4 linked regions of the Tamandua tetradactyla genome follow. The protein of the gene in region 1 purifies or fractionates together with the protein of each later gene. This does not show direct contact. Links are inferred from orthologs where the notes say so. Each region holds a gene or a part of one and is shown on either strand. Other genes may lie near its edges.

What was found.
Region 2: the proteins of NEURL4 (region 1) and CCP110 purify together in Homo sapiens (affinity purification with western blotting; 4 studies listed by BioGRID and IntAct, with this or other methods). This does not show direct contact. The link is inferred for Tamandua tetradactyla from reciprocal best matches to the Homo sapiens genes NEURL4 and CCP110.
Region 3: the proteins of NEURL4 (region 1) and MAPK6 purify together in Homo sapiens (affinity purification with mass spectrometry; 6 studies listed by BioGRID and IntAct, counting the BioPlex papers as one, with this or other methods). This does not show direct contact. The link is inferred for Tamandua tetradactyla from reciprocal best matches to the Homo sapiens genes NEURL4 and MAPK6.
Region 4: the proteins of NEURL4 (region 1) and ZNRD2 purify together in Homo sapiens (co-immunoprecipitation; 4 studies listed by BioGRID and IntAct, with this or other methods). This does not show direct contact. The link is inferred for Tamandua tetradactyla from reciprocal best matches to the Homo sapiens genes NEURL4 and ZNRD2.

What each region holds. Positions count from the first base shown.
Region 1 is NC_135332.1:61,192,847-61,200,073, forward strand, and holds the start of NEURL4 (neuralized-like protein 4), read right to left. Parts: upstream 3,018-7,227; 5' UTR 3,009-3,017; coding exon of another isoform or gene 2,512-3,008; 5' UTR 1,372-2,511; coding exon 1,090-1,371; intron 244-1,089; coding exon 1-243. Other genes in the region: uncharacterized protein LOC143688138, read left to right, coding at 2,512-3,008, 3,359-3,466, 3,594-3,680, 3,906-3,994, 4,092-4,343, 4,731-4,889, 4,978-5,115, 5,382-5,568 and 1 more; ACAP1 (arf-GAP with coiled-coil, ANK repeat and PH domain-containing protein 1), read left to right, coding at 6,543-6,595, 7,110-7,167. UniProt on the Homo sapiens protein: Promotes CCP110 ubiquitination and proteasome-dependent degradation. By counteracting accumulation of CP110, maintains normal centriolar homeostasis and preventing formation of ectopic microtubular organizing centers.
Region 2 is NC_135349.1:40,987,773-40,994,693, forward strand, and holds the start of CCP110 (centriolar coiled-coil protein of 110 kDa), read left to right. Parts: upstream 1-3,905; 5' UTR 3,906-4,140; intron 4,141-4,825; exon of another isoform or gene 4,826-4,960; 5' UTR 4,961-5,023; intron 5,024-5,716; 5' UTR 5,717-5,875; intron 5,876-6,921. Other genes in the region: GDE1 (glycerophosphodiester phosphodiesterase 1), read right to left, coding at 2,086-2,346.
Region 3 is NC_135340.1:66,877,295-66,884,285, forward strand, and holds the start of MAPK6 (mitogen-activated protein kinase 6), read left to right. Parts: upstream 1-3,988; 5' UTR 3,989-4,173; exon of another isoform or gene 4,174-4,223; intron 4,224-4,525; exon of another isoform or gene 4,526-4,808; intron 4,809-6,783; exon of another isoform or gene 6,784-6,856; intron 6,857-6,991. UniProt on the Homo sapiens protein: Atypical MAPK protein. Phosphorylates microtubule-associated protein 2 (MAP2) and MAPKAPK5.
Region 4 is NC_135335.1:8,949,446-8,955,783, forward strand, and holds ZNRD2 (protein ZNRD2), read right to left. Parts: upstream 2,056-6,338; 5' UTR 1,813-2,055; coding exon 1,716-1,812; intron 1,620-1,715; coding exon 1,468-1,619; intron 1,368-1,467; coding exon 1,283-1,367; intron 884-1,282; coding exon 540-883; 3' UTR 508-539; downstream 1-507. UniProt on the Homo sapiens protein: Might play a role in mitosis. Antigenic molecule. Could be a centromere-associated protein. May induce anti-centromere antibodies.

The sequences.
Region 1 (7,227 bases):
CCCATTTACCCAGAGGCGCAGCTCTCCAGCAGCTGTGCGCTCCACGCCCACATGGTCCCCTTCGCCAAGCTGGTCCAGGTCCTGACCATACTCCTCCAGCACAGAGCGTCCATCCCTCAGCACCGAGCAGCCTGACACTACCCATGAGCCCCCCTTCAGCCCTGTGGCACTGCTTGGGAAGTCCAGTACACTGGGATCCAGCGCTGTCACCCCAATCTCAATGGAGCCGCTCCAGGAGTTGACCTGTGAGATGAGTGGTGGACAGAGGCTCAGGATGGACCACCAGTGGGTTCCCCACCTCCAGGAAGTTACATTTCACAGGCCACAGCAGCTTCTCGCTGTGTTACTTGGTGCTCTCTCTCCCCAAGAGATTAAACCAGAGACTATAGACCTGCAGGTGATTTTCTAGACACTGTCTCAGTGGTTATTGGGGCTGGCTGTCTTCTAACAACACTGCATTGTCCTCGGGTCCTTGGTGTCTACCACACTGTCCCTTCACCTACCTTGCTGGCTAAATTTCCTGGCTCCAGCTCCTGTTTCTTCTAACTTCCCTGGTCTCTGAGGCCCCTCAACCACCCAAATTGTTCACATACCCCTTGATATCATATAGTACTCTATCCTCTGGCCCAATTCTCTCCAAGACTCTAGATCTACCCAGGTTCACGCTCCTCCCAAATTTATCTCTGTGAGCCTGGCCTTTTCACTAAATGACACACACACACCTCCCTCTTCCTGAGCATTTTACTCACGCAGCTTTCTGGCCTTGTCCCTGGGTTTGCCTTAATTGATTTTTTTCCCCTTTCTATCTCTCTTCTCTTGCCATCACACTCTGGCATCTCTCACCCTCCATTTCCAAGAAATTGGATCTGCTCTCCAGCTATTCTAACATCCCTTCCCTACTTCTGGATCTCTTTTCTCCTGCAGACTGCATGCTTCTGCTTCAAGGTCCTTTTCTATCATCTGGTGACAGACGGGCGATTCCCCCCCTCTACCCTGGGATGTGGACTCTTCTGGGCTGTCCTACCCCGTCTCCCTGTGGTCCCCTCCCACCACCCTCTGCATCTCGGTTCCGCGACAGCGGCTCCGCACCTTTCGGTCGATGCGGACAGTGAAGACGTGTCCATCGCGCAAAGGTTCCCGGCTCAACACGAGCCCGTGGTTAAACTCCTGGCCCGGCTGCTGCCGCCGCGCTGTACGCCCACAGGCCGAAAGGCTCACCAAGCGCCCGGTGCGCGGGTGCAGCTCCCCACCGCTGCCGAGACCCGCGCCGGACCCCGATCCCGGGCCGCTCTCGCTGGGCCCCCCGCCCCCGCCCCCGCTCGGCCCTGGACCTCCCCCAGAGCCCCCACTCCCACCGGACCCCGCCGCCATCGCCGCTGACACCGGGGCCGCGCGACAGCCGCGCTTGGCGGCACCGTGGCAACCGCGAGGGACAGGCACCCTGAGGAAATAGGAACGTGGGCGGGGACCAGAAATGCTTTACGGCACCCCCAGGCAATGAGGCTTCCCGGGCTAAGGACCTGACTACCACGATAGGAACAGAAGGACGTCGGGGTCGGGTTGTTTGCTTTACGGCACGGTGAGGTAACGGAGTGGCTCTTGAGACAGGCGAACACTTGGGCAGGGAGCTTTTGCGACAGTGGAAAGAGGAAACGACTGCCCCAGGCAACCTTACGACAGAGGGGTGCTGGCGCCTCAACGCTCGCAGTTTTGCGGCAGCGGCCCGGACGATCCCGCCCTCCATAGAAGGAAGGATGTATTCGCTTTACGGCAAGAGGAGGAGGTTTTTCCGTTTCGCTCTTCAAAGCGATTTGAGCCACGGTTGGATGGCCCGGCGAAGAGAACCGGCAGTTTTGTAAGTGAAAGTCGGCCCTCCGCACCACCGATACCGGAAATGTCTTGCGACAGTAGCGCCACACTTCTCGTGAGAGACAGAGGGAGCCGATTTTGGGGGAGAAAGGAAAAAAAAGCTGCGGAGGTTTCCATTCAAGCCCTGCTTGAGCCCCAATTTAACCAAACTCTTCGATTTTAAAGCTACGAATAAAGAGTCCAAAGAAACTATGGCAGTTTCGAGCAACGGCGTGAACAGTCCTAAAAGATCCCCCAGGCATGTTAAGTCCCAGCTCAACTCTCCCACGCTCGCGTTAATGATGGAGGGCTGTGACGTCACAATCCACGCTTCTCGGCCCACACCCCCACACCCCAGGACCCTGGTTATGATTGGCCGATTCAGAGGAGGGCCGTGATGGGAGAGAAGGGCGGGAACAAATCCTGGAGACAAAGAAAGAAGATCTTTGGGTGGGACCAAAAGGGAGGGGCGAGTAGGGGGACTTGTAGCCTGACGTCCTTATACCCGGTCTCCCGCCCACCGCAGCAGTGAGACAACCCTAGCCGCTGCCCAACCGCCCCCGCCCCACCCCGTTATGGGGCGGGGCCTCGGGGGCGGGGCCATGTGGGGGAGGGAGGCAAGGCGGGGCCGGGTGGATAACAGTGGCCCCCGGAGGTGGGGCCATGCCGAAGGAGACTCTGGGGGCCGCTGGCGGCCTCAAAGGGGAATCTCCCGGAGGAACAACCCAGGAGGTTCCCGGAGGAATCAGAAGGGCCGAGGCAGGCGCCGGGCTGTCCTCGGGAACAGTCCTGTTTCACGGCTCTGCGCCTTCCCAGCACTCCGGGAGTGTCGTAACTCATAGTCCTGGTACCAGCCAGCCCTCTGGGGGAGTCGCGGTCCTCGGCTCGGGACCCAGCCAGCCCCCTGGAGAGGTTGCGGGTCATGGCCCTGGGTCTGTCATATACCCTGCCGTAATCAACACCCACTGCCCTGGAACCAGCTTAACCCGGGCGTCTAGCCCCTGGTCCGGGGGGTCTGAAGAGTACATAGAGGGGTGTAGTCCGCACTCCGGGCCAATTTGCTCTCCCTCCCGCAACACAATAACACGTGAAGACCGGCCCCGGAGCATCCTCAAAAACAACAGCTGTGTCTTGATGCAGAAATGCCCCAATGTGGAAAAGTAAGGGGCCCAGCCCTGCGGGAGAGCGGCCGAGAGCTCCGGGGGAGGAGTTCGGGACTCCGGAGAGGGCGGGGCCTGGGGAATGGGAGGAGTCCCGAGAGGAAGAGACATTGGGAGGGAAATTTGAGGTTGGGGCCTTGGGGAAACCCGCAGGGGCCCGATTAACCGTGGATACACAGTACCCAAGTAATCACTACGTCTGACTCCACTCCCAGCCGCTTATATTTCTGTCCATACCGCCCCTGGACCTACAAGGGGGCGCAAAAAAGCTTTCTGAAAGAATGAGGAAGGGCTGTAGGAGAGGATCATTAGAATGTTTCCTCCTCGAACTGCCCCCCCCCGCCCCCCAGGAAAAAGGCCCAGCGCTGGGATGAGATGAATATCTTGGCCACTTACCACCCTGCTGGCAAAGACTACGGACTTATGAAGGTGGACGAGCCCAGCACTCCCTACCACAGGTGCTGAGCCCTCAACTCTACCCCTTCCACCCAGACTCTCCTCACTATGCCAGGGGGTTGGGAAGGGAGGAGAAGGCCAAGAAGCCTCAAGTACTGGTTGCTACTTGGACTCCCCCTCCCTGCATAGCTCCCCTGTCCACAGGCTGCAGGACAGCAACGAGGACCTGGCCACAGGCTCCTCCTACGCAGTGACTCCCCAGGCACTGGCAGAGAGGTGAGAGTCCTGTCAGAGATCATGTGAGGCAGGGGGACCTCCACCCCTTGACTCTGGGGTCTGAGCCAGCTCTACTCTTTGGACCCCAACATGGGTATTGCTACAGTTCTCATCAGGACTGGCCAAGATCCACCTAGGTTGAGGGGCAGCTGGCTCAGCCCCCTCCCCACCTACCCTCTTGTTACTCACTTCCCTTCAGTACCCCCAACTAGTCTTTCTCTTCAGGTTTGCAACAGTGGACAATTTCCACCCCAAGGTCCTCCAGAACCGTGAGAACAGATATTCAGGGTCTCTAGACAACTTTACCAAGACACGTGAGATGAGGGGTGGGGATTAAATGAGAAGGGGAGGCGGAGTCAACCTACCAGAGAACCTGGGAGGGAAAAGCCAAGCTCTCACACTGGCCCACAGACTCCAGTGATTTTGACCAGCACCGCAAGGCACACTATGATGAAGGGAATTTCCTCAGGACTCAGAAAACCTTGCCGTTGGGTAATGACGATCGCTACCACGGGGGTAGTGTCACTGCCAGCAATGGAGGTCGAGGTGTGATGCCAGACCCCGAACCCAAGCCTGTGGAGAGAGGCAGTAAAAGAGGATCAGCCAGAGGAGGCAAAGATGAGACTGGCCTAGAGGCCAGGAGTCACGTTCTAGAAGCCAAAGGTTAGCGATGGGGACTCCAGCGACTCAAGGGGGTTGTAGTGCAGAACCAGTTGTTCTCTTCCCCCACCAGAGTTCCTTTTCCCCTGTGGGCATCAGCCCAGGCCCCTGCTGCTTGAGGTGAAGGTGATGCTGAGAGGTGACCTCAGGGCAGAAAGAGGACAGCTAGGGTAGGATCCCCGCTCAGGAGAGCCTCAGGGAAGTCTGACTGGTGGGGAAGAACACAGAGCCCCAGGGAACCGTAGGGGGTGGGAAGTCCCAGAAGGTTTTCTAAAATGAGAGAGGTATGAAAAGTGAGATGAGAACCTGCGAGGTGGCCCACAGGGGAGACCTGAGGGCATGCAGGGGCCAGATGGCCATGCATTAGATTTGGCTTAGATAAATTTGCAGATGCCCATGCCGACAAAAGTCAGCCCCCAGCCTCGATCCCCACCAAGTTGGAGAAGGAGATTGATCAGCAGCGCAAGGAGTACTACATCATGGGAAGATACCTTCGCTCCTGCCCCAACCCGGAGCTTGAGGAGGACACAGACAATGAACAGCAGGACTGTAAGAGCTGGGCCAAGTCAAGAGGGGTAGGGAGATGAGGGCCAACAGCCTGAGGAATGCTCCAACCCTGATCTCATGATGCTTTCAGGCTGCTCTGCAAATTTGCCCTTGGTGATTGAGGATCCCATAAGCACTGAGGTCCGCCTGCTGGACCACATGGAAAGCCCCTTTCAGGAGCACAAGGCTGCAAACTCCCTGATGGGGACAGGGACACCATCACAGCCCGGTAAGGGCACCAGGATACCATCTTTCTGGGCCTGGCTCCTGGCAAGCTCCTGTCCTCACCCCCACATTCTTCACCCCCAGGGCTCTCCTTTCAGGCCAGTAGATCAGGGCAACAGGTGCTAAGAGGCCCGGGACCCAAGGCCCTCACTATACAGGAGAGGAAACAGAAAGGCTCAGAAGGGCTGGGACCCCCTCCCATCCCCTGGTACCATCCCCTGGACCCATGCCTCCTCCTTGATTCCTCTCTACCACCCCACCCCACTGCAGGTACTCCCCTCCCCAGTGGGTCCCAAGTGGTGTCCGGATGGTGTCAATGGCTAGTAACCAAGAAGCTGAACTGGCAAAACCCAGCGGGCTCAGAGAAGGAATCTGTAAACAACCAAAGCCACCCACCCCAGAGCAAGTGCAGATGTGAGCTTCGGCAGGGGCATGGGTGCTTGCACTGGCCAAGAAGGTAAAGAGGCAGGTGGAGTTGGTTTGGGGGAGTCTGGGGTGGGGGGTCACATGGGCAAGCTCTCAGGCCTGCTGCAGGAAACCAGTAACCCAACCCCTTCTCCTCCAGATGAAACCCTGCAGCTTCGATGGAGCTAGAAGGAGGAAACCAGACAATGGGAAACATAACCAGCCAGGGGAGGGGTATGGGCAACCTTCCCCTGCCCTTCCCACCCTAGGGGTGGGCAATAAAGATAGAAGAGCAGAGGCCTGGGTGTCGTGTGTTGAGTGCCAGCCTGGGCCTGGTATGTCATCGAGGAGAAGGGAAGAGGGAAGGAAATTCACACACAGGAAACTACAGGCAGGCAGAACAGAGTGAAGAAAGCTTGGAGCAGCCCGGGGCGCTAGGTTCAACCAGAACCTAGGAGCCCGAGAAGGCCCACGCGGCGGCAGAATGGCAATGAGGGCCACGCACGATTCATTGAGCTGGTCCTAACTGTCCCAGTGCCATGATCTTTAATTCTTACCACAACCCTGGAGGTAGGGTTATCATCCCCCTTTCCAGGTATGGAAACTGAGGAATTAGAGAGCTTTCCCAGGGTCACACGCCTCTACCTGACAGAGCTGGGAATTGAACCAAGGTCTGCCAGGCTCTGAAAACTCAACCACGAAAGGGAAAAGAAGTAGAGAGTCTGGGTAGGAAGGTGACAGCAAATAGTCTCTGAGGGCGGTGCTGTGGCTTCTCTTATCACAGCCCCCCCTCCTCTCCCCAGGCCCCGCCCCACCCCTCCCACTTCGGGCCTGGAAGTGTGGGGTGAGCGCTCCTCCTACGACACCCCTTCCCTTTGGGGAAAGGATTGAGCCCCCTCCAGGCTCTATCTGGGAGAGAACCCTCTCCTCCTTCACCATCATCTCCCCTCCTGGGGCCGGAAGGGCCTCCACTCGCATCCTCACCTGCCTCGCCTCCAAGGCCTGCTGGCCCCGCAGCAGCCAGAGATGACAGTCAAGCTGGATTTCGAGGAGTGTCTCAAGGACTCGCCCCGGTTCCGGTAAGTTTGTGCAGGTCTAGCAGAAGCGGGTGGGCAAGGTCCAAGTTCCCTCCATCCTCCACACAAAAACAACCTTCCCCAGGCCAGGTCTCCTTCCAAGGAGTAGGCCTCAAAGGGACAGGAGCGAGTTTGCAGACCAGCATGGTACCTCCGCTATCAAGCCCGGCACCCTGATACTCTCTGCCCCTGGCCTCTCCAGCCTCATCTCGCTCCCAGAGCTCACGTTGCCTCCTCACTGGTGCTGGGACCCCTGCCCCTCCCCCAGCACCTGCTCTAGGGCGGTTAGCAACTTCCTGCCCTGGCCGCATCCACCCTCCTTCTACCCTTCCTGCTCCGGCCTGGGCTATATCTGACTGTGTGCAGAGTGAGCCAGCAAGAGGCAGTGGGTGAGCAGGCCTCCTCAAGCCAGTGGCTTTCTCTGTCAACACCCACCACCCCCCAACCCCGGCTCCTGCCCCTGCGGAGGTTGATGGATCCAAGCACGGCTCCTGTGACACTATCTCCCCTTTCCCAGAGCCTCCATCGAGCTAGTGGAAGCTGAAGTGTCAGAATTGGAGACGCGCCTGGAAAAGGTGATCTTGAAGTGGAGAGGTCACCCAGGAGAGAGGGAAAAGGGTGGGATTAGGATGAGA
Region 2 (6,921 bases), on another chromosome or scaffold:
GTACATATGCATCAGTACCTTCTGTCCTCAGTTAGCACTGTGCTGTACTTTAAGGCAACTTACACAAAGGTAAGTTGAAATGGAAGCCAATGACAATTATTTGCTTTTTTCCTATAGTAAATAACATCTTTCTTTTCATGACAATACTATCTGCTATGCATCATCCAATCTCTCTGAACTTAAGTTTAGAATGCAAAACACATTCTTCAGTATCTTTGGATTTATTTTTAAATGGAAGGCTAGGGAAGCTACTCTTACTGTCTCTCTTCCTTCATAATAGAAATTTAACTTGGTTTATAAACCCTAAACTCAGGTGCCCTCCACTGACTCAAAGGTTGCCTTCCTAACACCCTTTCCTCTTCAGACTTAATTGTTTTTTACCTTTATGCTAAGGCAATTTTAAAGAATCTAGCCACCTTTGAATACCTGGCATAAACAGCTTATGTCTGTGGAGGTCTTACCACAGGCCAAGAACTTGACGTGGATTATCTCACTGAATCCTCACAACCTAGAGGGTAAATGTAAAATGGGAAATATTCTCATTTTACAGAAAGGGAAACTGAGGTAAGGGCTGGAGGACGGGGTGAGGAGAGGTACTCTGGGTGCAGTTTTCTTTTTTCTTACAAGTTTTGTTGTGAAATATAACATATACAAAAAAGCAATACATTTCAAAGTACACTATAACAATTAGTTAGAACATCTGTTTTCAGAGTTTGGTATGGGTTACAGGTCCACAACTTTAGGTTCCTGGGTGCATAATTCAAGGAGACACTCAATTGTGAGACACTGATCCATACTTGCACAACTCAGAGTGAGTGCCTTCTTCAGTTTTATGCCCCAGGGACCTTGATGCCTGTACCCTAGTAAGAATCCTGTTTGGAGTCTTAAGTAACTTGCTCATTGCACAAGCCTACCTCCAGCTGCACAAAGAAAGGACAGTCAGTCCAAGTTTTTATTTACATCCTGGACCATATTCTAATTGATGACAAGTAGCACTGGGCTTGGAATTAGAAAAGGTGAATTCTGGAAGGAGATGTGCACGTTTGAGTCTCAGTTTTCTCATCCATTCAATGTTAAAATAATGTCTCAAAGAAATGAAAGGATCAGATATATTTCTATGTATGCAAAAGGGCCTAGTCAACTGAAAAATTCTCTTACTATGCAAGCTGCAAAATGTGAAGTCAGGAGACCACCAGGAGTTGGGAGGGATCAAAAGTATAAGAAATACCTTGTGAAAAGGGGAAGTAGAAATTGATTAACCCCGCCCAGTCAGGCTGCCAGGGTGTGTGTGTTTGGGCTGGTGGGTGGGGTGATAAGGAGATGACTAAGGTCATTTAGAACACAAGTAAAGCCCCAGTTTCTGTTAAGGGTGATCCATTTAAAATAAATTCAACTGCTGACCTAGACCCTAGGCGACTTGATGACATTTCCTATTTCATTCATACACTGACTTCTCTTCTGTTCCTTGAAAACTCCAAGATCATTCTCACCTCGGGATCTTCGCACTTGGTGTCCCCTTTTCTTGGAAAGTCTTCCCCAGATTCTATGGCTGGCTTTTTTTTCCTAATCCCCGTTTCGGTACAAATGTCACTTCTTCGCTGAGGATTTCCCTGATTACCCTACTTTAATTGGCATAACCTACACTCTCCACTACCCCTCCCCCCAAACCCCTGCCACCAGTTTTTTTTTTAATGCCATTACACCACTTCTTCCTTGCACCTCTCGCAGCACTTAGTATCTGGCTTGTTTGTTCACTTGTTTAAGACAGTCTTCCCCACTCCAATGTAAGCTCCGTAAAAGCAGAGACCCTACCTGTCTCATTCATGGCGGTAGCTCCAGTGCCTGACACTTAGCAGACGTTCTATAAATACATGCTGAAGTATTCCATAAATACCTGAGGTCGGGAGTTTTCCCAGACCCTGGGGGAGATCAAGGGTCATCGGAACGCATTGCTGTGGATGAATGGGAGCGGGAGGGGGGTGCTAGGAAGACTATCCTGAGGAGACTGGGGACCCTCCGAAAAGAGAAGCAGAGGTCCGAGCCCCCGGAAGGGGCGGTGTGGCCCGAGGCGTGGGGGCAGCTCACCTGCCGAATGGCAGCCAGGGTGTTCTCGGGCGCGTCGTGGCTGCCGCCGCGGTGGGCAATGGCGGAGATGCGACCCCGGGGCTTGAGCACCTGCAGGGCCCTGCGGGAGGACACCGGCTCAAAGCTGAAGAAGCGCAGCAGGATGTAGAAGCTGCCGGTGAGGAGGCAGGCATTGAAGGGGCTGCGTGTCACCACCAGCACCAGCAGCAGCAGGAAGGAGAAGGGGCCCAGGAGGCCCCCCTGCTCCTCCCACAGCCACATGCCGGCGCCTGCACCGGCACGGACGGGAGTCCCGGACCCGCCGGGCTCCCCGCACGGGAGGGCGAAGGTCGAAGTGAAGAGCCCAAGGCGTTCGCCAGAGGTGGCACCCTCTGAGGGGACCCGCGCCGCACAATGGCGGCTGCCGGTCCATCCGGAGCGGTACCGGCTATCCAGCCAATCAGAGCTCGGGATCTCCAGCACTAGGGGGCGGAGCCGCTGCCATGGCAACGGAGGCGGGCCCAGGTTCGAGTTCCAAAGTGGCCTTGGGCTCTTCTGGGGTCTGGGCGTCCACACGGATTCCAGGCTGGGTAGGAGAGAAAGGGCGAGATAGAAGATCCGTCGTACGGTTGTAGGACTGAAAGGGATCTTAGTGACTCCTTTATGTTCCCAAAGAAACTGAGGCCAGGAGGCCTTGAAGCAGCAGGACGCTGAGACCATTTACTCAATTCAATTCGAGATATGCCAACCATCCGTCCAGGTGCTGGGGACACAGCAGCGAAGAGGATGGACAGAATCCCAGCTTTCATGGAGTTACATTCTAGTGAGGGCAAATGACAGGAAGTACAGCTAGCAATTCTAGAGCACTCAAATGTTTTATTATGCGTTTTCACATTTACTTTCACAAGAACTTCAGTAGGTAATACTATCTTCGGAGACGAATTTCAGTCGACTTTAGGAGGATTTTTCAGATTCTGAAGAAATAAAAGAACATAACAAAGGAGGCAAGATCGGAAGGGGGCTTAAAGATCCCTCACTTTATAAATGAGAAACCCAGGCCGGGAGAGGTGAAATGCTTTGTGCAGTTAATGACCGAGTCAGGGCTGATATCAAGCTACCCCAGTTTTAGGCCTGTGACCTTTCTACTGCTACTGCTCCTCCTAATCTTACTTCTCCTTTTACTAGGGGCTAAGAGTGGAGGTTAATATGCCAGGCATTTTGCATTACTCACAACTACCCTGTGATAAGTATTTTTTAAATCTCCATTTTACACGTGCAAAATAGCACTGAAAGTAGGGTCAGAAAGAGAGGAAGAAGTTAAAGCTGAGTTAGGAAATGATTTAGGCCACTAAATCATATTTTGAAAAGCTGGGTGGAGTGTTGTTTGGATAGAGAACTTTGGTAAAATACCTGGGGCTTTTTTGCCATCTTGTACCTGTTACCTTTCTTCTTTGGACGTCTTTTCCAACTTATTTGCAAAAGGGTAAGAATGTCTTAAGGTTTTGAGCTGGCATCTGCTGATTCAGCAATATTTTAAACACGGAGAAATCATTTTGATGAATGCAATGTTTTCCAACGACCACACAGAAAATGTCTATACAGATAAGCAAAAAATGAAAACTTCAATGAATAATTCAAGGGACTTCAGTCTTTAAGGAGCGTTCCGACGGTAATAAAAATTTGGAGGGAACTGCTTACAGTGAAGACTACGTCTTCCGGCGTGCACCGCGCTCGCCGTAAGGAAGTCGTCCTTCGTCATTGGGCCTGAGCACCACTAGCCGCGCAATGCACCTCGGGGATTGTAGTTTTACTGGATGCCAAACAGCGTCAACGGCCCAAGATGCAATCACCGGAAGTGCCGGCCCTGGGAGGTGGAGCCTGGGGGGCGGCGGCGGCGGCTACCGTGGCGGTTGCCAGGAGCCCGCGTTGCCGCCTGAGATCCGTAATATGGCGGGGAAGAGGAGGAGAAGGCGGCGGTGGACCGAACTGCGCTCTGTCGCTACCAATTGAGCCTTTTGCTTCCCGACGAGGCCCGGGGCGAGGGCATAAAAGCTGACCCGGCCGTGGGGGAACCAGGTGTGTGCGTGAGGAGGGGCTCTATCCTGAGCATATCTAGGCTGACAGACCACCGGAGGAGGTGGGACTGGCGCCTTGCGTTGCTGAGGGCAGCTAAGCACTGAGCCCTAAGTCAGATATTGGGTTCCGGGACCCTCGAGCTTCTGGAAAGGCAGCCGGGTGTGGTGAGGCGGCAGTCCCGGGGGCCGGCGGCAGCGGGCGCGGAGGTGATGCTCGGATGCTGGCACCGCTTTGGTGGGCCCTCGGGATAGAGCCGTATTCGAGGAGCTTGGAGAGGTGGGATTGGGGCTCTGGGGTGAGGGCACGGGGTCCTTTGAAAATAAACCTTGCCCAGCTGTTTGGGGCCGTTTCTCTTTTCCCACGCTGATGGAGAGGGAGGGGTCCCCAGTGTGCACTGGCCGTTTCTCAACGCCGGTTACCACAACCAGAGGCACTAGGAGCGCCGTTTACCCTGCTTTTGCTAGTCTTTGGGGCATAAACGTGAGGATAATCAAGCATATTCTCTTGATTGTGCTGATGTTGCTAGGTGTTAGCTTTTCTTGTCTAGTTGTAGCCCCAGCCCGTGCCCTTCCGCCCTCCCCCCAATTTGGCAATTTGAAGAGGAGGGGTCTGGAAACAGAGAAGGAAGCTGTTGCCCTCCTTTCTATGTCCCCCTTTAAAAAAATCACATTTTGAATCTTACCAGGAACCAAGCACTCCCCTAGTGATAAAAATCATCATCATCATCTTCATAGTACAAACAGCCTCTATTTCTGATGACTTTCTGCGTGACCTGCATTCTAATTGCCCTCCATTGCATTTCCTCATTGAATTCGCACAGAATCCCTTTGAGACAGATATGCTACCTCTATTTTACAGATGAGGAAACTGAGGCATAGATATGGTAAGTGGCTTGCCAAGAGCCCACGGCTAGTATATGTCTGAATAAGAAACCAACCCCTGTTCTGCCTCTATAAGAAGTTTATATTTTGTGGAGGACTGATGGATTAACAGCCAGAGAGGATCTGAAAATAAGACAGGATCTGTTCTCTTGTTTCTTTTACCATTCCCTTCAGTGACATTTCTGGCAGAGGACTGGTGAGGAGCAGATAGCATGGGGTTTACCAAAAGGCTCATGGAGAAGGGGCAGTAGTACTTGTTTGGTATAAATGGAGAAGACAAGGCATGTTTGAACATGCTGTAGCTGACAAATTGTTCATTGAAGTGGACGAGTATTGCCCAGTAGTAAAGTATGGGGCTGTAAATTTGTGGTTGGGGTTGCTCTCAGTCTTTCTCCCTTAGAATAAAGCCTTGCTAACTGTGGTAATTGTAGTGTGAGAAACGTAGGGCCCTCTCGCTTACTCAATATGGAATGTGGACTGCACACCTTTTAAAGGATTGCCTTTCAAGTTTACAGATTGAAATATATTACATATATTGAATATGTAATTTCAGATTCTCTTGAGACTAGGGTCATCCATAAATCATCATTCTTTAAGTTCCATTCTTCCTTACTGCTTTCTCTTTTGCTATATAGTTCACTCTTTTCCTGGTTTATATTGTTGTTTGAGCTAATTACTGTAATTCTTTTATTCAGTACTTTTATCAAGTGCCTACTGTGTGCAGATACTGTTCTATTTAATGGGGATTCAGTGGTGATCAACACTGAGAAGTTACCTGTGCTTATGGAACTTACGTTTTGGTGGAGGAAGACAGACAAAAACCAAGGAAATAAACAAGATAATTTCAGATAGTGGTAAGTGCTGTGAAAATTGGGAAACAGCAGGGAAAAGTGATAGTGATTGAGGCAGGGTTAATTTAGATGGGGAAAGTTGGGAGGACATCTAAATTGATATTGAAGAATAAGAAAGATCCAGTCATGCTCTAGGATCAATTGGTAATCTCCCTAACTTTCAAATTAGCACTTTTTTCTTTTGAATGTTTAATATACTACCACATGCCATAAAATATGCTGTGATAATATATTGCGTATATCTGTAATATAAAGGACATACACGTTGTATTAGTAAAGCAGCGAGGTACATCTATTTGAAGAAAAACAAAATTGTTGTCATAAAGATATTTTATTTCTTTAAATTTCCCAGAACTTTAAAATGGAATTTCATGCTTTGCTTGTCTATCCAGAGAAAGTATATTACATTAATTGTAATTATCTATTTGCATTATTTGTGTGTGATGCTGAATGCATGGTGCATGATTATATTAAAAATGTTTTGAAGTATTTTAACAAAAATGGGTTCATTTGAATTTCTCTTACTTGATAGTTACTGCATATTTTGGTGGTGAAGATATTTTTATGTGAGTTTAAATCTAAATGAAAAGCCAGGTCTTATATGGTTATCATGCAGGAAAGTATTTTGTTTTTTACTTTTGTTCTGTGAATTTAAGATTGCAAAATATATCACTCATATTCTAAGGAACCATTTCTTTAAAATTCAGCTCCCTTTACATAAGTTGATTGTAGAAATAATTACAATAGATGGGATGGTAGGAAGAAATTTTGTTATTGATAAGACTACCAGTTCATCAGAAGCAGGAACATTTTAAAAATAATTTAATCGTAATTTGAATATTCTTTTTCTTCATTTCTAATTTAGCTATATTTTTTCCTGGCACTGTTCTGTATTGAATTCTTAAGTAGTTTGAGGCTTAGACTAGTATCAAATTCTATCTAATTTATTTCATCGTTGCGTGTCCTAATCATGAATTCAATTTCCCTGCCTTTTCTTTTTCTAAGTAGGTAATTATTTTAAAATGAACACTTAAAGGAAATGATTGTGT
Region 3 (6,991 bases), on another chromosome or scaffold:
ACTATCTTTTATCATAGTCAAATTTCATCTGAAAAAAAATCATTCCGACCCGCAGAGACGATTTTGAATAATTCTGTCATCTATCTTCTTCCGGTCTCTCTGAATTTTGCATCTTCCTTAAATTTGGAATCTTAACTTGACACCGATAAAAATATAACTCAGGATTAGACAAAGGATAAAATTACTTTTAAGACTTCCCTCAATATTATCAACCCTCCTTTAAGCAGCACTTTTTGAATCGACCTTCCTCTGCCATAATCTAAACCTACATCTCTCCATTTTATCCACAAAGGTGTCTTGCCTTCCTGAAATCACCAGCATCCCGGGTTAGCGATAAATAATCCTATCAAGAAGTGGTACTTCTTCATAATGACTTACTTGAAGGGATTCATGATGACTTGTATTAACTGCTCCATTTTCCCCAAGAGCTCATATCCATTGTGTTCAATGATTTTTATTAGAAACTTTCCTGGGATTGGCATCAAACTTAGTGGACTATGCTATTAAAAACCTATCTTCCCCACAATTTTGAAAATCACTGTAATATTGGACAGTTTATCTTCATAGGAGTTGGTAATCAAATTGGAAAAAGTTAAATAATTTAAACAGGGAATTTAAACTCAAACAGGTAAAGTGGGAGTAGCTGGGGTTAAGACTTAACCCTTCCTGAGAAGCATTCACCAACACCAGCTGTTTCTGTCCTAAAAATCTCTCTTAAATTGTCTACCTCTCCCATGCCAACTAGAGTTGCAGCAACCATCTCAAAATATTCTTTTGCTCTGCCTCTTATGCATAAGTCAATTTGGATGGAGTTTTCTGTTTATTTTAACAGTAAGAATTCTGATTTACATGTGAGTGGGAAAGGTAGTCTCTTAAAGGAAATCAGAGTACTGTCACCAGAATAAGGGAGATTGGATGCAGGGCAGAAAAAAACCCAAAGGATTCTTCTATCTTCTCATTGTTTCCAACCTCTTGCTCATACAATCTACTGTCCTCATTACTGCCAGAGTTATCTTTCTAAAATAGCACTTTTATCATCTAAATTCTTCTTCTACTGCCTTTAAAATAAAATCCAAAAGTTTTGTTATCATGTTCAAGGCCTTCTCAATCTGGTGCTAACTTGTCTACTTTCCCCCAGAACACAAACCATGAACCTGTCTCTTCAGATTTCTGCCATTTCCCAAAGTGTGCCCTACTAGTTCATTCCCTTGTACATTCTACTGTCTTATCTGGGAATGCCTTTTTTTTTCTGATACTACCAGATAGAATTAAGCCAGCTGAAAAGCTCTCTTTTCTAGCTGAACCTTTCTTGATGTCCCAGTCTTCATTAATTGTTCCTTCTATCAGGTTCCAACAAGAGCAGGCAATTTGTATCTCTGCTCAGGAGCACTCATCTCATCCTACCTTATGGTGCAGTTACCTGTGTTCTCCACTATAACACTGGCTTACAAACTCTTATGGAAACTCACAGCAGCAAACAGAAATACATTTCATATTGTGATCCAATAGGCACATTTTACATATACTTTATATATCATCAATTTTAAGAAGCACCTCCTTCATTTTAATATTGCTGAATTCAGGATGTAGCAATGAAGTATCATTTTGATAGCATTTTCTCTTTCTTTAGAGTACATAAAATAATTGTCTCATAATTGATGACATTTTAGATCTGTTGAAGCATGACACATAACTGAAACAAAAATATCATGAAATTATGTTTACCCTTATTATGTGTGATGCTCTCTTATTTTGTGTTTGCTCTATTTCATTTTTAAAAATGCAGGCCAGAAACCACTAAAAGGATTTCACTACTGATTGATCATACTCTGCAGTTGGAAAAACTAAGAATTTCAACCATTTATAGCCACACAACAGGTTTAAGAAGAATGAAGACTGGATATATTAACATGACTTGACAATTTGACTATCTGCATAAGTGTGACTTTAATTCCAAGAAATTCTCACCCAGGAAGATGAAATTGGAAATAACTTTGTTGTTTCAGGAACTCCCTGAAAATCCATTTATCTGAGCAATTAACTACTGGGTGAACTAGCCTTCATCAGGTTATACAGCCCCACCTCAGAACAAGATTGTTCTGTTAGTCTTATCAAACAACTACTCTTCTAGAGTTACTTCAAAATTCTCCCCTTTCTGTGTCTACCCCTCCTAAACTATTATATCACAAAGCTAGCCCAGTACCAATCAGGCCCTCTCATTGGAAAGCCTGCCATAAAGGAGACCCCTCAAATCTTATAAATAGCCCATTCTTAACCTCCCTTTTTTGAGACCCTTCTAAGACTATCAATGTAGTGTTTTCCCTTACTGAGGTCTCTTCTATATTTAAGAGCAATAAACTTTCCTTGGCTTTATTAAGGGTTATTATTTTTTTTTTGTATTCATCACCAAGATCATTTTTATTTTATTTTTTCTCTTTTTAATTTTTTTATATTTCACATATATACAAAAAACGCAATAAATTTCAAACCACACTGCAACAATTAGTTATAGGACAACTTTTGGAATTTGGTATGGTTTAGAGTTCCATAATTTTAGATTTTTTCTTTTAGCTGATCCAAGACACTGAAGACTAAAAGAAATATCAATATAATGATTCAGCAGTCATACTCACTTGTTAAATCCTATCTTCTCTGTTATAACTCCACCTTCTCCTTTGAACTTTCTCTATTAAGGGTTATTTTGTTGGTCTTTACTGAAGTCAGAGCTGATGCTACATTAAAATCTCCATGAAAGAAGGCACAGTGTTTGTGTGCCTTAGGTGATCAAACTGATGGAAAGGGGAGCACAAAGGTAGAGTGGGGGAAAAGCTGTGCTAGGAATTCCAGGGGAGTCTACCACAGGAGTAACAATGATGAACAGAGGTCACAGGTAAGGAGCTCTTGTGGCAGAGGAACTCATCCAGAAGTTGGACGTTTTGCAGTTTAGACGAGCCTCCCTTTTCTTTTGTTTTTATCCACTTTCCAACTACTTCTTCATACCTGGTACTCAGATGGTACTGATTTCAAACATCTCATTCCAATCATTTAACTTCAAGCCACCATGTGATCCTTGAAGTGGTCTCTGCTTCACCCTGGAAGATCCTTTGCTGTCGTGTCTGGTTCTCATCAAGATGGTGATTAAATCACCGAAAAAATATGCTGACTTGCCTCTCTGATTTAATTTCATAAATACCTCCTTAAATTTCACATAAATATTGGAAATGATCCTGGACTCAATAAGCCATCATAAGCAAAATGTTTGTTCTTCAGCCAAGAAAGTACCAATCTACCTTTTCCACTACATCTTACAGCACACCCCTTCCCAAATTCTATGCTTCAGTTGCATTGGCCTAGTCCCAGTTTCTGCAACAAGCCAAGTAACTCTCTGCCTCCCAGTCTTTGCTCACACTGGTCCCTCCGCAGGAACCCCCCCACCTCTGATTTTCATCGGTTCCTTCTAGCTGCAGCCGAATGCTGCCCCCCGCATCCCCCCGCCCCCCCCCCCACAAGGGCGACCTCTCCAAGAAGCCTTCCTCCATGACCTCAGGCAGAATTAGAGCCCTTCCTCGCACCTGGTTTTTACTGCTTTGGCCTACTGCCTTCCAGCCAATCTATCTTGAGTTCTAGCCTTCCTGCTCCCGGCCCGTTCCCATGGGCAAGGACGAAGGCCTGTTTCTCGTGGATTGCCCAATACCTGGCACGTAGTAGGAGCTCAGTAAACTTTCGCAGGGAATTTGATCCCTTCATATTCCAGTGCCAAGGCAGGTAATAGAGCACAGATGGCTAAGCCACCGGGCTTTCCCGGCGGCCCGCAGGGTCAGCCCACCCGAGGCGGCCAACGAGCCCACGTTCCTCCCCCGGCCATCCAAGCGACTCGCCGAACCCAGTCACGGGCGTTGGAAATTCCGACGCGTGCAAGAGCGCGCGGCCGGGCGGGGGCGGAGGCGGGGGAACCCGTGGAGTGAGCCTGTGACGTGAAGGGGGCGTGGCGCCAGAAGCCCCGCCCCCTCTCCCTCGCCCTCTCTAGCGGGTCGGGGTTACATGGCGGCGACTGCGGCAAAGCGGGAGCCTCGGAGACGTCGCTGCCGCCAGCACAGCCGGAGACCTGAGCCGACCCTGGGGGCTGTCCGCGGGCCCCGCACTCTCTCGATGAGTCGGAGAAGTCTCGTGAGTGTGTGTGTGTACGTGTGCCAGGGGCGCTAGCTGGGCGACTCGGGAGGGCGCCGCGGCGGAGCCGGCTCCCACCTCCATTGTGTGTGACCCTCCGGCCGCAGCCGCTCAACAAAGGCGCTTTTGTTCCGTCTCCCGCCCGTCGGCCCGCCCGCTCGGGCCTGGCTGGGGCGTCCCCGCGCCAGGAGGCGGGCGGCGGGTGGCGGGCCGGGGTCCCCGCGTGGGGCCGGGAGAGAGGCCGGCGCGCCCCTCCCACCCGGCACGCCTCTCGCCGGCCGCCCGGCGGGTCCGCGCCCGCCAGTCCCGGGGCGCCCCACAGCCGGCTGCGGAACCGCCGCCCGCGCCCTGCTTTGAGGGTTCGAAGCTTGGCCCGGCCGGCGGGCGAGGGGCGGCGGCCGGGGAGGGGCGGCCCGGGGGAGCGTGAGGTGGCACGGAGTCTCGCCTTCCTGGCACGCCGCCTTTCGAAATGCTCCCGCGTCTCCTCCCCCTTCCCACCCGGGTGACTCGGCCTCAGCTGACTCCTGCCGGGCAAAGTCTCCGGTGGACTCGGCAAATTGCGTAGCGCGCGCGCCGCTTACCCGGCTCATCTCAGAGCCCTGAAGTCCTCTGCCCAAGTTTTGAATTTAGCCATTAATGAGGTACAGAAAACTCGTCTGAGAACGGAATTTCCAACCCCCACCCGAGGCCTTTCCTTAGCTTCTTTCCGGGACGTTGAGTGGTGGTCTGTAGGAGTCACTCAAATGAAAACTTGTTTTGTCGGTTCACGGAAAAGGGCCTCTTCATTTTGCTGGCAGTTTTTTTTCCTTTCCGCTGTGTGAGTTGCGTTGAAAAGTAAAGGTGTTGTGGCCTCCTTTTGTTCCTTGGCTTACTTAGTAAGACCCAGTTCGTTCAGGTGTTACGTGGGAGGTCTATGAAGCAGGATCTTTTCCTTTACTTTTGTGTTTTGTTTTGCTTGCTTATTGGGAAAGGTTCAATGAAGGGAACTGGTGAGGAAGAATTAGAAACCACGTATTAGCAGAGTTCATGTGCTTTCCTGAAGTGTTAATAGTGCCCTTAAGTCACAGTCAAAGTTTTAGTATTAATTCTTTTATGGGTACAGGATGACTTGTCAGGGAGGAAAAAAAAAATAACAGGCGATAAAATGGAGGGCAAACAGCTTCAGAGTAATTTTCTGATTGCTGTTTCTTCTAACCTGTTTTTGTTTTCTAAAGTTCTAATGGGACATATCTTCTCTTTTCAACCTGGATTATTCAACGTTGGGAAACTGGAGGTGGTAAGAATGATCTGACTAGAAGAATGTAGGGTCCTGTCAGGGCCTAGCCCTGAAAGGGAACCCGCCTTTAGAGTTTCTTCTCATAAATGTCAGAGTTTAATGTTTGAAAACTAATTGTGAATTGAGTGGACGAAACTCTAAGAAATCTTTAAGGAGTAGATGTTCAAGCATGTTTTTGGAGTGCTTGTTGTTGCGCCAAGGAGTGAAAAGTCCTTTCACATATATATGTTACATCATTTAATAAAAATTGCCTTGTGAAATTTGTAAAATTGCTTATTGGTGCCCTAAATTCAGAAACTGCAATCATCTAGGAAATATGCTAGATTTGAACAGGACATGTTTTATCACCTAGACATTACTATTTAGAAAAAAAGTTCTGGAAAATGGAGAATTGTTTAAATTAAAGTTTATGTATGAGGATACTTGAAGTTTAGTTACTGGTAAAAGAGGATTGAAAGTTGTCTTTGGCTTCTTTCCGTGATTAAAAAAAGAATCTTGAGAAAGGAAAGATTGACTTGAAGAATAATTTTGCAATGGAAAAAGCGTATGTTCTAAAGACAAGTGCTAGTATTAAAAGTGTTGCAGCATTCTACATGAATTTAGTTATCGTGAGAATTCATAAACTGACAGTATTAAGGTTTGCTGACTCAGGTAACCTTTCAGAAAGGATGGGGTAGGGTAGGAGGAAGCTTAGAATTGCTGCAAGTTTTTAGTTGGGTGATGACTCATCCTGCCCACGGCTGCTACGTGGCCTTCTTTTTTTTCTTTAATACACTGTATTTTTTTAAATGATAGGCTAAAATGTTTCTGTCCACATTATAATTCTTCTTTTTAAAACTTTCTTTAAAGAGGAACAGCGGTTTCTCAAAAAAAAGTAATGGCTTCTAAAATTGTATTTTAAAAAGATCTCTTTGAATATGTTTGAAAATGTGTGTATATATATTTTTTATTGTATGCATATCTTTATCTATACTTGTTTTTAGATACCATATATCTTCCAGGTGGAATTATGTAAATTTGTTGAGAGGAAAGGTTAAATCTGCTGCTGCTGGGTTGAAGTTAAATGATACTAGTAGTTCTTTGGCTACTATTGAGAGGCATTTGTTACAGGTTAACAAAGAACACATAATGCTTTAATGTTGGTAAAAATTGACGTTATGTTTTCATTGGTTATATATGTTGTTTTCATAATTAGTTGGTTTAAATAGTGTTGTAAAGGTGCCAATGGAGTATAATATATAACAGATACATCTCTGAACTTTATTTTACTCTGATGAGATTAAAGCATAATTATATACATATTGCTTTCTCATGTAATTTGTATGAAATTTCTGTTTTAGAAAAGACAACTTGAAATAGATCATTGTTATAGCCATTATTTTTCATCAGCCTTTTTAAGGATAAGCTGATTCTGTAAGTGCAGTTTTTTTTGCCCTCCCTCATGCCTTAAATTTAAGACTTAGATTGAAATTTGGTAAAAGTTATTTTAGCTGATTTTAAAACAGCCACTGTGTAGCAGGTTGGAGTAAAAACAAGATTGAGAGAACA
Region 4 (6,338 bases), on another chromosome or scaffold:
CCAAGGACATAACCTGGTACACTGCTACACACGCATCATTAGGTGAGAAGGACCAAAAGTGGGAGTCAGGAGATGGCTCGATCGTGCAACTTGATGTCAGGGTCACCACAACCTCCTGCAGGGTATGACTCTATGGGGCTGGCATGAGGTGGGAGAGGATATGGGCTCAGGATGCAAAGGGGATCGAGATCTCACTCACAGGCAGGTAATGAGCAGTGGAGGATGGGGTGCTGCCAGGTCCAGGCTGGTGGCCCACCCATCTTCCTCTTGCCTTTGAGGAAGCTGTGGCCCACACCCCAGAAAAAGGGTTCTCATTTTGTCCATTCTCTCCCCCTTCACCTTCTGACTGGGGAATCTGAGCAGAAACAAGCTCACAACCCATCTCTCAGAGACATCAAGGAAAGCAGATGGGGGAAGGGTGGGAGGCCAAAAGGAGGAAAAAGACAAGTGGAGCTGGGGCTGGGACACACACTGAAAACCAAGAAAAGAACCACACACATGAACAGGTGTTTTTCTAGAGGGTTTTTCTCAGGGGTGTCTCAGTGCTGCAGCTGCTGCAAGCTGTGCAAGGCCTCAGCACAAGCCCGGATCAGACCACAGAGCTGGATGCTCGTTTCCAGGGAGGCGCTAGAACCCAGCTCAGCTGAGGCCCAGGTCAGCTTCTGCAGAAGAGCCCCCTGTGTGCAGGCCAAGACATCTGCATCTGGAGGCACTGCCGCTGGGGGTGGCACCTGGGCTGCCTTGAGCCCTGCTGCAGCTCCCTCACAGTGCTCTGGCCGGGGTACCGGAGGCTGAGTAGCAGGTCGACAGCCTGAGGGGAGCTCCAAGGCAGAAGCCAGCTGGTGCTCCCGAGCTTGGGAGAGGGCTGCCTGGGCATTCAGAGCTAAATGAGGAAAAAGCAGGTGGAATGGTCAGAAGTCCTGGCCCACCATAGCCCAGAGCCACCTTCTCTCTTGACTGCTCTGCTCTTTCTGTTCTTTAAGTATTTTCTGTACTCCTCTACAAAGCAATTCATCCAGTCTCTATTTTGTGTCACAATTATTTATGTCCTTGCTTTATCTCTCCCATCAGGACTTTGCCTGATAAAGTTCAGACTCTCCCACTGCGTCTCGCATACAGGAGGTGCTAAGTGTTCTTACTGAATGAATAGTCCTCTTTAGAGCTAAAGGAGAAAGCACCTTACCTCTGCCCACTCCCAGACTCCACTGTCACCTCTCAGACCTACTGTCCCCAGGCCTCCATCGCCACGATTCTTTCCTACCAAGCACACTCGGGCCCTCACCCGGATTATCTTTATCCACGTCTGAATCGAGCTCCTGACAAGCCACACAGTAGATTTTCCGCTGTTTGTCTTGGAGGAGGATCGTCTAGGGGTCAGAAAGCACACGGGGCAGGAGTGAGGCGCTGGGCGATAGGGTGCAGAAGGAAGAGCTGGGGAAGGGCCCAGCGGCCAGGTTCTCGCCTCACCCCGCAGTCCGCGCACGTCTCGCCCAGCATGCGGTAACCGCGCAGCAGGTAGTCGCCCATGAGCCGGGAGATGCGATCCTGTCGCTCCCGTCGCGCCTGCAACACCTTTGTCTCCGCCTCCGTCGGGGGCTCCCAGGAGAAGTCGTCGACTTCTGGAGGAAGAGAGGCATAAGGGGCCGGGGGCTCTTGCCGGAACGGGCTGACTCCAGTACCCCGCAGCCACAGGCCCCCGCAGCCTAAGTCCTCACCAGCGCCGTTTAGGGCCATGTTGCCGTTGTCGCCGCCGAGCTCACCGGAAGTGACGCACAAGCCCTGCGCCCTCCGCCGCGGCTCGGGCGCCTCCATGTGGGGCTGAGGGCGGAAATGGGGCAGCCGAGGGCGCCTCAGGTCGCGCGCTGCCCTGAGTGGGGCGTTTCTGGTCGCAGACTTGACCGTGCCTTGGAGGAGCGCCCGGCAGCTGCAGCCCAGTGGGCGGCGACTTTTCGACGGTCGAGGCCAGCGGAGGAGCGGAAGTGGTAGGAAACACCCTTGGCGTGAGAAATCCGCCTCCCCTGGGGTTTTTCCTTTCCGGATAGGCGGGGCGAGCAGCGACGTCATCGCAACGACAAACGACAGTCATAGCCACGAACCGCCCCTGCGCGCGCGTGGAGCCTGTCGGGCCTCCGTGCTTCTCACTTCTCCATCGGGGCGCTGGGGAAGGAGGCCGCCTATTGCTTGGTTGACCATACGTTTTGGTCAATATGTGTGCTGTCAATTCACTTGAAATTCCCGCAAATAGTGTTAATCAGGCCGTTTAAGAGCCTCATCCTTCCGCCTACAGAATTGTCAGCATCCCTTCCTCATTGCCTGAACTGTCAAGGAGGGTGAAAGGTCTGAGATTTTATCCTACTTGCCGGCTAACAAGTTAGCCTGCAGTTTAATGGATGCTGGCACGAGCTTCGAGTCTCCTGGGTCAGAGACAAGGAACTTTATTACTCACTCATAGCAAGCAGCATGAACAGGACCATATTTGCGTCAGTTCCCTTTACCCTGGAGTCTTAAGAAGGCAGTGCTGGTGGAACTAGATGGACCCATAACCATGGGTTATGTTACAAGAGAGGAACCCTGTGCTTAAGGAACCCAAATATTTTATAATGGGCTTTAAGTATATCTGCCCTTGGCTCTAGAGCACCAACGACGATGGTCAGGCTCAGATGAGGGTGTGACAATTACGTCGTGGCTGTCGGAGGCTGAAAAAGTCCAAACCTCTGCTCCCCAGTCAGCTGATCTGCACACCATGACTCCTGCAATGGCTTTACCATCAAGACTTCTGAGAACTTTCTATGTGCTATCCCTTGTCAAGAATTGTGTGGAGAATGCCCTGAGGGAGCTGGGTGCTGGGGCAGTGGGTGCTGGGGCAGCTGCACCCTCCTGCAGAGGCTGCCCAGAAATGCACCTTAACCAGGAAGCAAAAACTCTCCTCCAGCCTTGCCTCTCCAGCGCCCTCTTCTGACAACACTTAACATTGTGTCAACAGCAAAAGAAAACTAAAGGGCCCAGGTCCGAATGCACAGAGCAGAGAAAGAGAATAAATTTGGAGCTGAGAGACAATAAATTAATAATTGGCACAAGATCATTAGTATCATTTTACAGGTGAGGAAACTGAGGCTCCAGAGAGGGGCAGCAGCTGATCCAAGCCTGTGCTAGATTTTGAATTCAGGTCTGAACCTGAATTCACAGCTCTGCTCTTCAAAGCGTTTAGAAAGCAGGTTGCAAAAGATTATCTATGGGGGGTGCACAGGTGGTTTAGGTGGGTGCACGGGTGGTTCGGTGGTAGAATGCTCACCTCCCATGTGGGAGGCTCAGGTTCGATTCCTGGACCATACACCCCACCCAAAAAAAAAAAAATTAAGGAAAAAAAAGATTACCTATGGTACAATTTTGTGGTGATAATTCTATGACCCATAAATGTGCATATATTCCCCAGCCTGGAGGAATACACACCAAAGATCAGTGGTCCCTTCTGAGACATAAGGATTACAGGGAGTTCTCCTTGCTGTATTATTAGGTTGAACAGCATGAAGTTGCTGTGTTTGTAGGTTAAAACCAGTCAGATATTGGTAATGCCATACAGTTCAACATATTTATTTTTGTGATGTAATGTCTGAAGTTTTCATTATGAGTAAGGCCTCCCTCTGACTTTTGTCTGTGGTTGCATATTTTCCCTCATAATAAACTAGAAGCTTTAAGTTTAACCAACAGAGATCCAAAGACTTTGGGGGAAAATATCTGCTGTTTAACCCACTGAAATATACCAAGAACCACTTGTTAATTGGCCATGATTTGTTTGTGACCAACCATAGGAGAAAACTGTCATTCATGTTCTTTCTGCTTGTTACATTTACACTATGAAATACAGTTGTTCTATGAGGATGTTATCTTTTTATAGAAAAACTGCCATAAATCGATGGTAGAACTTATGCGACAGTTGATCAGATTTCATTTTCAAAAGTATTTGAATTATGTTTTGTCCTAATTTTATGTCTCAGTATTGAGAATTAAAACAGTTCAGCGTCTTCACAAACCGTAACTTTAAGGGAATAATTCTTTTGCCATTATTTCCCCCAAAAAAATGGTTCTGTGGTTTTTGTTTGTTTTTGTTGTTTATTAGTTAATTTTAGCAAATATGATGCCTAAAAAAGAAGGTGCTCGTGATTCAGGCCTATTGTGGTAGGCAAGAGAATGATCCCAAAAGATCCTAATTCCTGGAACCTGTGACTATGTTTCATGACAAAGGAGGAATTCAGGTTGCTAATCGGCTGACCTTAAAATAGGGAGATTTTCCAGGTGGCCCAATGTAAATCGCAAGGGACCTTAAAGTATTAAACAGCTGAATATACGTTCCTCTCAAGTGCACAGGAAACATTCTCCAGAATAGACCATGTGCTAGGCCATTAACCAAACCTAAACACATTAAAAAGGATAGAAATTTTACAAAATATGCTCTCTGAGCACAGTGGAATGAAATTAGAAATCAGTAACAGGAAGAGATTTGGGAAACGCACAGATACATGGAAATTAAATAACACACGCCTTACTAACCAGTGGGTCAAGGAATAAATCATAAGAGAAATTAGACAATACCTTCAGGTGAATAAAAATGAAAGTACAACATACTAAAACTTAAGGGATACGGCCAACGAAGTGCTTAGAGGGAAATTTATACCCATAAGTGCCTGTATTTAAAAAATAATAAAAGATCTCAACCCAATAACCTAACCTTCCACCTTAAGAAACTAGAAAAAGAAGAGCACACCAAGCCTCAACCAAGCAGAAGAAAAGAAATAATAGAAATCAGAGTGGAAATAAATGAAATAGAAAAGCAATAGAGAAAACTAAACCAAGAGTTAGTTCTTTGAAGAAATCAACAAAATGGACAAATCTTTAACTAGACTGACTAGTTCAAGCCTGGGTCAGCCAAAGGACACAAACCTTGTGGCTTCAGCTGGAAAGCCCTGTGGCTGAATCAGAGTTCCCAAAGGTGAAATCCATGATTTCACTGATAATGGCCTTGTCACCTGACAGAGGAGTTTGGATGGTGATGTTTTCAGCTAACAGTGGAAACATATCTGGCTCACTCAGGCAAACGGCCACAGCGAGAGCCAATTTACTGATAAGCCCGGCTGAATTCAAGCTGTCGATGGAGTCGGCACCACTCACAGCCTCACCATATCTGCCTGTCTCATCATCTCTCCAGATTTTTAAGGCAAAGGCTACTACTGCATGCCAGGCAGTGATTCCTGCCACAGGTTGGTCTGTTTCTCTTGCAGTGATGGAGGGTAAACAACATTGCCACTTTCTACTCCTGACAGGTTGGCTTTATGGGACCTTTACCTGCCTCCTGGGGCTCTAGACAGTGTCTCACCACTGTTGTCTGTTTTCCAGGTTAAAGTGTTGCTGTTGCAGCACAATCAAGCAACTCAGGCCACCTCCTTGTGGTTCTTACAACTACACTGGCATGTTTTTAGGTTTCTGGACCATTTCAAGTCTAACAATGGTGCACCTTTTATCTCAAGAGCCTTCCCTTCCCTGCCTCAGATATATGGTCTTGTTAAGCCTTGAAACGGCCTCTGCAAAATCTACTCAGAAACATTTCTGGCTTCCCCTCTCTCATCTTCTCCTGGTCCACACACCTCAGTGAGGCAGTTTGATCACTGAATGTGGCTGTCCCAGGGAAGGGATCATCTCTTCTTGGTCATGTTACGGGAAACCATCAGGATGAGAGGGATGAGAGTTTAGACAGATCAGCATTGACCATTCCTGGGCAGGATGCTTTCTTTACCCTAACAGCAGCCCCTGGCCAGCCTGGGTGGTAAGCCCTGCACATGGGAGCCCCATCCTTGGAAATTCAAACTTAACTGTGGTCCAATCACCTGGATTCTCTTTTTGGACTGACATGGTCCTAGATCGGGAGGATAAGTGGGCCACCTGGTTGAGTACCCCTCTCTCTGCGTTCCCCAACAGTGGCCCATATGTAGAGTGAGGGACGTGGGTCTCTCTAAGTTTTATAAACGCCCTTATCCTTGTTGCACCTGGACCTTCTGGATGCAAAGTCTGGGATGATTGAGAAACAGGTGAATTTATAGCTCCGGAATGGGACATATGGATTTTGTGGCAGGGGAGAGAACAACCTCAGTAGCTGGGTAAGGAACACTCCAGACTCTGGGAGATGGAAAAGGAGGGACATTAATGGCCATTGTTTTCAGAACCACCCCTGGGGACATCTTACCATGAATACACCTAGGTCCAACTCTCCCAAACCACTGCAAGTGCCTTAAACTTAACTGACTAGGCGATCTGTCAGTCTTCCACTAGACAGTTCTGACCCTGAG